3 linked regions of the Xenopus tropicalis genome follow. The protein of the gene in region 1 purifies or fractionates together with the protein of each later gene. This does not show direct contact. Links are inferred from orthologs where the notes say so. Each region holds a gene or a part of one and is shown in the gene's direction. Other genes may lie near its edges.

Evidence for each region. The genes of interacting proteins can lie anywhere in the genome.
Region 2: the proteins of otub1 (region 1) and slc7a11 purify together in Homo sapiens (affinity purification with western blotting; 5 studies listed by BioGRID, with this or other methods). This does not show direct contact. The link is inferred for Xenopus tropicalis from reciprocal best matches to the Homo sapiens genes OTUB1 and SLC7A11.
Region 3: the proteins of otub1 (region 1) and ube2e3 purify together in Homo sapiens (affinity purification with mass spectrometry; 3 studies listed by BioGRID and IntAct, counting the BioPlex papers as one, with this or other methods). This does not show direct contact. The link is inferred for Xenopus tropicalis from reciprocal best matches to the Homo sapiens genes OTUB1 and UBE2E3.

What each region holds. Positions count from the first base shown.
Region 1 is NC_030680.2:36,046,273-36,050,222, reverse strand, and holds the start of otub1 (ubiquitin thioesterase OTUB1), read left to right. Parts: upstream 1-1,150; 5' UTR 1,151-1,221; coding exon 1,222-1,267; intron 1,268-3,950. UniProt on the Homo sapiens protein: Hydrolase that can specifically remove 'Lys-48'-linked conjugated ubiquitin from proteins and plays an important regulatory role at the level of protein turnover by preventing degradation.
Region 2 is NC_030677.2:61,844,422-61,847,921, forward strand, and holds part of slc7a11 (cystine/glutamate transporter), read left to right. Parts: intron 1-145; coding exon 146-269; intron 270-1,795; coding exon 1,796-1,899; intron 1,900-2,911; coding exon 2,912-3,008; intron 3,009-3,500. UniProt on the Homo sapiens protein: Heterodimer with SLC3A2, that functions as an antiporter by mediating the exchange of extracellular anionic L-cystine and intracellular L-glutamate across the cellular plasma membrane.
Region 3 is NC_030685.2:62,838,480-62,841,979, reverse strand, and holds part of ube2e3 (ubiquitin-conjugating enzyme E2 E3), read left to right. Parts: intron 1-2,978; coding exon 2,979-3,111; intron 3,112-3,500. UniProt on the Homo sapiens protein: Accepts ubiquitin from the E1 complex and catalyzes its covalent attachment to other proteins. In vitro catalyzes 'Lys-11'- and 'Lys-48'-, as well as 'Lys-63'-linked polyubiquitination.

The sequences.
Region 1 (3,950 bases):
TAGCAACCCTTCTTTGCTCCACAAGTTCATTGACTAATTCTGTGTAGTTTTCACCAGTTAAATAGTCCACTGACAGTGGAAAAACCTGACTGTGCTTTAAAGGGGAAAACCACCCAAACACAACTTAAGCTTTTTGAAAAGTAAAGATAATTTCAAGGAACTTTGCAATATACACCAATTAAAACGTGCACCAGTTACAGGATTTTTTTTTTATATATTCTTTATTTTTGATTTTTCAGAGAAAATGGGGTACAGAAAAAAAGAAGGGAATAGGGTAAGGACATTTGAAATGATCTGCATTTACAAACAGGTTGTGAGGTCAGGAGTAACAAAAGTTATTACTTTTAATTTTAAATACATTTGAGAAAGAATAGAAGCAAATAAAAGATAAAACATGTCATCAGGGACTTGTTAGTTTTTTAGAGTAGTGGTTCTATAGGGTCTTATGTCAACGGGTTTGTGTATGAAAGTTGTTGATAAATGTTAGCCAGGGTTCCCACCAGTTACAGGATTTTAATGTAATATTGTGGTTTATAACAAAGCCTGGCCCCTGTTGACTTGCTGATCTGACTACTCAAACCAATATAACAGTAACTGACTGTCCTCCTCCTTCAGCCTGCATGCTCCAAATCCCACAATCCCCTGCACACATCAATAAGTGCAATGCATTGTGGGTTATGTATTTCCTGCATGCTATGTGTAAGCTGTGGTGATGTTACAATTTGTAACATCAGTGTTTTAGTCCCTCTTCCCCTGGCAGGATTTTCAAATGATACAGAAAGGGAAGATTGTTTTGCAGCTGGATTTCATTATATAAAAATGGCATTTAGTCATACTTTTTTGAAGAAACAGATTACAGTAATAGGTATATTATATTTTGTGTGTTGTGTGGGGCTCTCTAACAAATCTTAGTTCGGAAGCTGACGTTCCCCTTTAAAGTAAGGAACACTTGGTGACATAGAAAGCTCAGTGAGTATTACAGGAGACTAGTCTAGCACCACATATAACCAATGAAGTATACATAGCACTAAAGGTATTCAACTATCTCGTGCTTAATACAGCCTGCTTAGTATCGCCTGGCTGAGCGCTTTATTCTACTATAAACTAGCGAACAGTTACTATAGGAACCGTCTCATCCGGCGCTGTGCTATGAAATTAGGGAGGGACTTCCGGTTTGTAGTCTCCCGGAAGTGATTGGAGTGGCGGCGGTCGGTTGGAAATATGGCGGCGGAAGAATCTGAGCGGCAGCAGCAAAGTGATTGTGACGGTGAGAGAGTTAGTGGCTGCGGGGTGTACCTGCGTGTTCCTATCGGCTTCTCACAGTATAACGGGGAGTGGGAGGGAGGAGAGAGGTGCGGGTACAGGCTGCAGGGGCACACACAGGGGCACATACAGGGGCACATACAGGGGCCATACACAGGGACACACACAGGGGCCATATACAGGGACACATACAGGGACCATACACAGGGGCCATATACAGGGACCATACACAGGGGCCATATACAGGGACCATACACAGGGGCACATACAGGGGCACACACACAGGGGCCATATACAGGGGCCATATACAGGGACACACACAGGGGCCATACACAGGGGCACACACAGGGACCATATACAGGGACCATATACAGGGACACACATACAGGGACACACACAGGGGCCATACACAGGGGCACACACAGGGGCCATATACAGGGACACACATACAGGGACACACACAGGGGCCATACACAGGGACATATGGACATACACAGGGGCACACACACAGGGGCCATATACAGGGGCCATATACAGGGGCACACACAGGGGCCATATACAGGGGCACACACAGGGGCCATATACAGGGGCACACACAGGGGCCATGGGATTCATATGGAAATGCACAGCCCGCTTGCATTAAAGCTATCTGCTCTGTACGTCTTTACAGGGCTTTGTTTATTTAAGGAAGGAGATATCAGATCTGATATCATGCATTCTCTCCCTGGAGCTGATTAAGTTAATTGTCATCTCAATCTATATATATTTTTTATTAAATGCACCAAGAATGGAGGTACCACTGTGACAGACACATCTGCTGCTATCACCAGAGCTGTCAAGCCCCCCCCTCCACCACTTCTTTGGGAGTCAGACGATTTCTCCAGTCCCCCAGCAGTGTTTTTCCATTTTTGCCGAAGTCCTGAAGTGAATTTGATGCATGCATGTATAGTAAGCGTTCAGTGACGTAAGTTGATGCATTTGTGCGTCTGTGGGGGAATTTTTCAGCTTCAGCAGCGATTTTGCGCATGCCGTCGCTTCGAGAGGCCTGCGTGACGTCCATTATGTCACTTCCAGGTATGGGGGAACATTTTCTGTTCCCCTGGAAAGCCTAGATGTCAGGTTGACAACTCTCTATCCCCCATGTCCAATACAATAATCATAAAGGTGGGCGAGGCAAAAGAATTCCTAGGGATGCTGATTTGTTAGGCGCCTCTCGGTAAGTATAATCGTGCAGCGTGTTCGACCATATTTTGTGCAGAAGCACAAGGGTACCCTAGATGGTAATATTTTTTTTTCAAAGAATATCACTGGGTTGGGGAATTCAGTTACAACAAACCAGCATTCCCTGCTTATTTTTGGTTGGTTCTCCTTAAGGGCAGTGACACATGGAGAGATTAGTTGCCATGATTTTTACCACACTTCCCGTTACACGCACATATATACAAGTTGCCATGTATAGTGGCTACTCGCTCAAAAAGAGTCCAGTGGCTACTTGGACCTTGTGGAAAGGGAACTTTGGCGATTTGTCACCATGATCAGGCTTTTTTCAAAATCTCCCCATGTATCGTTGCCCTTAGGGCAGGGGTGGGCAAACTTCTCGGCTCAGGGGCCACATTGACTTACAGACAGGCCGAGCCAGCGTTACGCCATTTCCGCTCGTCAGTCCTTTGACACCAAGTCTCTCATGACAAGACTTGTGGAGTCAGCGGGCCGGATTAAAAAGACCAATGGGCCGAATGTGGCCCGCGGGCGTAGTTTGCTCCCCCCTGCCTTAGGGTAATGGCACACTGTATACTTTATAGTCCATGTGAAATCGCCTCTCTCACAGACAACAAAGCACCTAAAATAAATTGCATTTGGTAACAGCAAGAATCACTGTCAGGGGCAAATTTGGGACCAATGTCACTCTGAGGCTGCCTTCCCAATGTAGCCTCCCTCACCTCCTCCCCACACACCCTTTTAGCATCAGAGAAACTTAATAAGCCCCTGGTAACCTACTGGGCGCAGCCTCCTGAGGCAAGGAGCACCCTTCATCACCATGGGTGATATGAAATGCGTAACCACATGAAATTGCCCCCTTATGCACTTTGGCTGATTACACAATATATATGTTTTACCTGCGCTAATTCTTGTTTGTGGAAATGGTATTTTTTAAGGACACTTTGTTACCTAACGATGAATGCAATTTACCACAATTTGCCCAGTGTTATATCACCCTTCATTGGGTAGTTCACCATCAGATTAACTTTTTGTTTACAGTGGTATTCTGACACAATTTACATTTTGTCTTCATCTTTTCATTCTTTGTGGATTTGTTTTTTTTTTTTTTTACCCTGGAATTTATTTCTGCCCACCATGCCTGGGCTTAGGCCCTACAGTTCCAGGGCACAAAGAGCCCCTCACAGGGCCCAATATAAAGCACCAGTCTGTTCTCAGACATCTTGCAACTGAAGCTTTAATTCTTTCTGGTTTGCAAACTATTTAACATTTTGTTCCATACCTCTACAGTTTGGGATTTAAATGATCTGGTTGCTAGGGTCATGCTTATACTAGCAGCGAGCAGTGATTTGCAGACTGCAAGATGAAAAGGAGAGTGCCTGAAGAGGAAGTTACAAATATTAATAAAACTCTTGCCTCAAGATTTTTTTTTATAAATTAAAGTTTTTATAAAGTTTTTATTTAGGATT
Region 2 (3,500 bases), on another chromosome or scaffold:
TTTTGAATCAACCCTGTAATGGTTTGTTGTTTCACTTGGACACATATCAACATCCTCAATTACTTATTAAAGATATTAAGCATATATTAAAGATATGTTTGAAAACTTCATAAAAATATTTCACTAGTGACTTTTTCTCTTTCAGAAACGTGCCTCTTGCTATATGCATCTCAATGGCCATTGTTACAGTTGGCTATGTCTTAACCAATGTGGCATACTACACAACAATAAGTGCAGAAGAACTAGTTCTCTCCAGTGCTGTTGCTGTGGTAAGAAAGATAAGAGTTAACTTGGTCACAGTTGCTCTTTCAATTTTTCTCTAAAATAATTTGATTTGGGAGATTGATATGGTATGCTGGGCTCAGAAATATAAGCAGTGATCACAAGAACAGTAAGGATATTATTATAAGTGTAATCTCTCAATCAGTTTAAAAGCTTAACTACCTATTTGGTCTATTGCCTTGGAAATCAGATTACATTTTTATGACATACCTTCAATTGCTTTTCAATGAATGAGTAATATTTAATATAAACCTTAATATTAAAAAAAAGTTAAATAAGTAGAGCAAGTAAAAAATGTTATCACAAAATATTTCTCTCCAACTTTAGGATAACTATACGTCTGACATGTTTCTTTTTTTAGGTTTGATTTTTTTTTTTTTTTTTTAAATCCTCTCAAAATTTTACGGTATGGAGCCATACATTTTAGTAAGGCCTGGATATTGGTGTAACCTTGAAGGAAGGCCAGCATGACTGGGGGATTGGGTAGTATGTATGATACTGGGATTAGCAGAAAAGGAGGGAAAGGGGTCTCTTAGGTTAGGTATAGTTATGGATGAAATCTTTCATCATTATCCAACTGATAAAGGTTTACCACCCGCCCTCCCTTAGGCTGGGGGAGGTGGTTTGTTATTTTAATTAATTTGTAATTTGTTACACATGTGGCCTTGAGGGCTGGGATACAGTAATCCAAAGATAGTTTTAGTTAGCTTTGGGGTGGCAGTGATAGTCCCACACCATTCACTTTAGTCACAGGTCTTTTGGAAGGTTCCCTGGCAGTCTGCTGCGTGTTGTGGTGTGGTCAGGGTATCAGTAGTTATGGGTAACCCCTATGGTGGGTGACCAGTGGTGCTCAATTGTGCTTGGGCTTCATTATGGGCTTGATACCTTGGAAATTGTCTGCTAATAGCAGTGGAGTTGATAAAGGACAGTGACATGCACCTACACTGAGCAAGGTGTAACCGGCTTGTGAATGTAGCTGGCAACTGGGAGGGCAGACCATCAGAAGGCACCCTAAAGATTCAAGGAATTATTTCTGTTGTAATGTTATATGTTATCCAGGGTATAATAATATACATCATATGTTGTTAAACCAGGTTCTATGAGACATTTGTTCCTTGCATGTCACAGGACAGGTCATGATATCATGTGCATTTTAGAATAATTTCCTTATTGGGAAAAAGGTAGAAAGAATGTATTTTCTAATGGTAGTGTTTAAAAAAAACAAACAAACATAAAACAACTTTCTTCCAACAAACTTTTGTAATATACTGTACTGCAAAGACAGTTTAGTGATTAAAAAATGCTCTTTTTAACACATATAATTATCTTCTCAAATACCATTGGGGCGTTAGACCAGACACTGTAATGCTAGTAAAATTTGACTTTTTAATTTTTCTTTGACCCTAAAATTTCCTTAAAATGTATAGTTATTCTAGTATATAAGTATTGTTGCTTTAGAAATTTTATTTATCATGTATTATTAATGATGTTTGATAATGATTCTATTTTGCAGACGTATGCTGAGCGTCTCTTTGGGAGCTTTTCCCTTGCAGTCCCAATCTTTGTCGCTTTGTCTTGCTTTGGCTCTATGAATGGTGGTGTTTTTGCAGTTTCCAGGTAACTCATTTTGCTTAGATACGGTAAAAAAAATGTTTTTGCTCCAGCTGTAGCAACTTCAAGAACTGTCAGTAGGTACCATTTACTGGTTTCTATGCACAGCTATAACGGTACGGGTGTGCTTACAAGAATACCTTGCTGGCTGTGGGCTAGAATAGGGGGCTACATTACAGTTGAACTTGTCCTTCACCCTGATATTTATGTAAATCAAGTTCTGATACCAAGTCCATGACTGAGAAGGCTCACAACATAAACACATATTCTCATTTTATTTCTTGATTAGCTGAATGTCATTATGGGGCATTGACAATGACCCATGCAGTGTGCAAAGTGCAATAAAAATCGCAAATCAACGTTTTTTGCACTTTGGCAATTGTGCAAATAGCTGCAGGCCTCTGGGCTCTATCAGCAGGTGGGGGTAGCACATAGCCTGCCCCACCCCTTAACCGCGCAGACGCCCAAGGTAAGGGTCAACAGCAAGCAGAGGCCAAATAAGGACAGTATAGCACACCCCTGGGGCTTTGGAAATGATCTCTATTAATATTCCTTGTTTTAATTTCACAAACAATGGCACAAACCTTGCATCTAACAGTAACATACTGCAAAAAAAGTTTTATAAGGATATCAGACTCTTCTGACTTACCCATAAATAACACGGGCCACACACAATAGCCAGTATAGTGCAAAAATCAATACGGGAAAAACCACTTCAGAAACAGGTTACTCACATAGATATAGGTTGCACTTCTTTAGGTTAGTACCACCTTTCAGCCTCACCCCATGCTGACTTATTTGTCAGCTCTAATAGTGTTATAATTGCCATATAAGAAACAGAAAGGGAGTGTGCACTAGTAACCAATGGTATGTATGATATAATTAGGTCATGACTAGATAAATGGGGCTGTAATTAGTAGTTTGCAGCATTTAATTAAATGAATTGCATGTGTGTGCCAGTTAAACAATGATAGATAACACTAACTCATTGGAAACACAATGTTTTTTACACCACCAGAATGTTTTATGTTGCGTCCCGAGAGGGTCACCTTCCTGAAATTCTCTCTATGATTCATGTGCGCAAACATACTCCATTGCCAGCTGTCATTGTTTTGGTAAGCCAAACATTTATTGTGAATTCATATTGTGCTCATATAGGAATCATTTCTTTTTTTGCAGGTTCTGAAGAGAGGTTCTATTTACATGGCTCATTATTTTTATTTATTTCACGTTACACCAAGATAAATAATTTTTCCAATTATCAAAATAATTTCACAGATGCTCACAGAGGAGAACAGGCTGCTCTATAATGAGGTGTTCATAATTTAATTGACTGTACATGTCCATGTCACAGCTATAATTTGAACAAAAGCATGCACATCATAGCTGAACACACAAGCGCTCACTGCTCCAATTTGAAGTGCTTTGTATCATACAGGCACATTTCTACTACAAAATCACTTTACAATAGTTGCATTTGTTTTCACTGTTCCTTATAAGACAGCAGTGTTATTTAAAAGGCAACTTTCCAAAGATGCAAAGGAGAAAGCTATTCGCGGGAGGGCACTGTACATTACACCAGATATTAGTGAAAATGATAAAACACA
Region 3 (3,500 bases), on another chromosome or scaffold:
TTTTCCCATAAAAACAATCAGCGCACCAGAGGTCACCCCTATAGATTAGAGGAACAGAGCTTCCATTTGAAGCAGCGTAGGTGGTTTTTCACGGTGAGGGCAGTGAGGCTGTGGAATGCCCTTCCTAGTGATGTGGTAATGGCAGACTCTGTTAATGCCTTTAAGAGGGGCCTGGATGAGTTTTTGAACAAGCAGAATATCCAAGGCTATTGTGATACTAATATCTACAGTTAGTATTACTGGTTGTATATATATAGTTTATGTATGTGAGTGTATAGTTTGGTTAGTATAGGTTGTGTGCTGGGTTTACTCGGATGGGTTGAACTTGATGGACAATGGTCTTTTTTCAACCCTATGTAACTATGTAACTATGTAACTTAAAATTGTTGTATAATAAAGGTGAAGTCAGATCTATACATGCAAGCCTGTTCAGTATGCTTGATACTTTGTCTGAATTATCTGTGTTTGTCATCGTGTGAGCCAGATACTTAACCTTAATCTGAAACATAGCTCATTGGGCAAACTTAATATGCCAGCTGCATGCCTGTGGGTGGGGGTGTTTTGGGTTTTTTTTAGGGGTTTTGTTTGTTTTATTTTCTCTTTTTATGTGGTAGAATAGGGCCAAGAGGGCCCATTTGCTAGCACTATATAAATAACAGGAAATAAATTAGCCATACAGAAAGCAGTTTGCTCACAAGAATTCAGGGATTGTCTACATTTTGTATGAGTTTCTGAAGTGCAGTTCGTTTAGACAAGTATTAGTTATGGTGTCATTCTGTTGAGCCCAGTGGAACTCTTGGCGACTTGTGTTTTTAACTATCCTCTAATACTTGCTCCCTGTGTAACATAATGGAATTTATTTGTTCCACTTTGGTGTTGCGTTCAGATTTTCAGAACATGACTCTCTAATCCCAGCTGTTTAGCTTGGTACTATATAATTGATTATGATCATTATCCATTTTCACTACCATTTAAATGAAGTGCCTTATGACATTTCTCATCCCACCCCTCTCTGATTTCTGTTCCCCATGTTTTTGCATGTGCAGCTCTGGCTTCATAAATGTAGTTACTTGCTTAGGGTACATGTAAAAAATATCTGAGTATATTTCATACAAAACCCTAATAATTAAATCAGCAACTGTTGTGACTGGAACCTTCATTAATCTGTTGATGAATGATCTTTAATCGGCACTTGTGCTCAGTGCAGACTGTACAGAGTTTATCCAGCAGTGCAATACATACCTGAATCTAATTATTCATCTGCGCTGGGGCATACGTATTGGTAATTAATGGGCAATCAACAGATCATCCATTTAATTGGAAACCTAAAAGTGGAGGAAGAAATCATTTGAATTTCTTCCTATACTAATTTTTCAAGTGTTCCAGGTTAAGTGGATGGTTTGGCCTTTTTATTTTGTTAGATATTTTTAAGTTCTGTTTTAATTGTATGAAATAGAATGAAGCTGGAGGAATAGAAAGAGTTTCCTCTGTTTTAGGGGCTTGATTGATATTCCATCATTTTCGCCTGCTGACTACCAATTTCAGAATGCATAATTTTCATTTAGAGCGCTACTCTGTTTGGTATTGCTCACTGTTTTATGGTATCGTTGACATTAGCTTTTGAAGAGTGTAATCCTTGAGGTTTTTCCACCAGATTAGTGGACAGGAAAAACTGAAATAATTTTTTTTTTTTTTTTAATGATGGCGTAAGTAATAAGTATGAAAATGTAGATTGTAATATTTAACCCAGGGGAAATAATTTAGTAATTTGTACTTGAAATGTTGTTCATAAAAATAATTCATAGAGAATTATTGTGCCCTTAAGTTAGACTGCTTTAATAGGCAATTACTGTGGCTCACGTTAACACCAGGGAGATAGATTTTATCCCTTCATCCCATTATTTCTCATGTTTTGTTCCTTTTAAAGGTATAAGTAATGAGAGGAGGGACAGGAAAGATATCCTGTGCATTCAATATTAATAAAAAAGCTATGATGCACACTTTTTTAAATACATAAACATTATGAAAAATTAATTGATCTATTTTTCTGACTGGAAATGAGCAGTACAGTGAAACGAACATTTGTAGGGATGAAAGTCACTGTCAACTTCCCAAATGAGTACTAGAGTAGTGTTTTTATATTGCACGCAATTGGGCCCATTGCAGGGACCAAAGCATCAATCATTCTTGAAAGATGGAATACATAATTCAGGGATCCCCAACCTTTTTTTTTTTACTCATAAGCCACACTCAGATGTAAAAAGTTCACACAATTATGAAAAAAGTTCCTTGGGGGTGCCAAATAAGCACTGTGATTGGCTACTTGGTAGCCCCATGTGGCCTGCAGGAGGCTCTGCTTGCAGTAAATCCACGTGTTTGCCTTTACAAAACTTGTCTCCAAGCCAGAAATGTAAAAGTGGGCACCTACTTTGCGGCCACTGGGAGCAACAACAAAGGCGGCGCTGAGCAACATGTTGCCCCCGAGCCACTGGTTGGGGATCACTGACAGAATTCATAATTTGTTTATATTTTTGCTACTGTTTTTTTTTTTTTTATTATTATATAGTTCCATGCCTTGTGTAACTATACTAAACCCTAATACCTTTTTCCCATATGTGGCTGCAGAATTCTATGATCAATTACATTCTGGTGATATACATTTTTTCTCATTATATTTGTACAGGTATTTCTAAAAAAAAAAAATGTAAATGTGTCATCCTTGTTTGTTTTTTCTTGATGTTCTTTCTCTTTGTTTCCTTTTTATTTCCATTGAGATTAGATTAAATTCATGGAATTCCATAAAAATTCACAGAAATAGAATTCCACATTAATCAAATTTCTGTCTTTTAATGAAAGTATGGCTAAGCTAGTTATTCCAACTGAGCTAGCTAGCGTAGGTGTTTTTGTTTTTCTAAATGTTTGGCTTAAACTGGGATCTGTAATATCCATTACTCCTGCTGTTTTATTTTTTTTAACAGCGCTGGACCAAAGGGGGACAATATTTATGAATGGAGATCTACGATTCTTGGACCTCCAGGATCAGTATATGAGGGGGGTGTATTTTTCTTGGATATCACATTTTCATCTGATTATCCCTTTAAGCCACCAAAGGTAAGGGAAATATATCTGGAATGTATTGATTTACATCAGCAGGTTGGGCATTAGGTATCTAGATTGCTGTCATAGGGAATGCTTTTTTTTTTTTTTTTTTTTTTAATACTGCTGTTGGTTTTTGCAAATCAGAAATCTCCATAATACTATAATATTGATATTGTTGTTCTGGTGGGTAAAGGGGTTTTCAAGATTAGTTGTATTTTCATGTTTATTTAATAATGTTTACATTCTATTGTTATATTAAAATATTATGTTTTTGTATTTAGATCCATAATTCAGGAATATTAAGCTTATATGTGTCTCTGAAATGAAGGGGAAAAAAATCTATTTTTCTCAAACATTCAATTCCCCCAAGGAAATTGCACTAAAATGTTATGCAAAAGAAG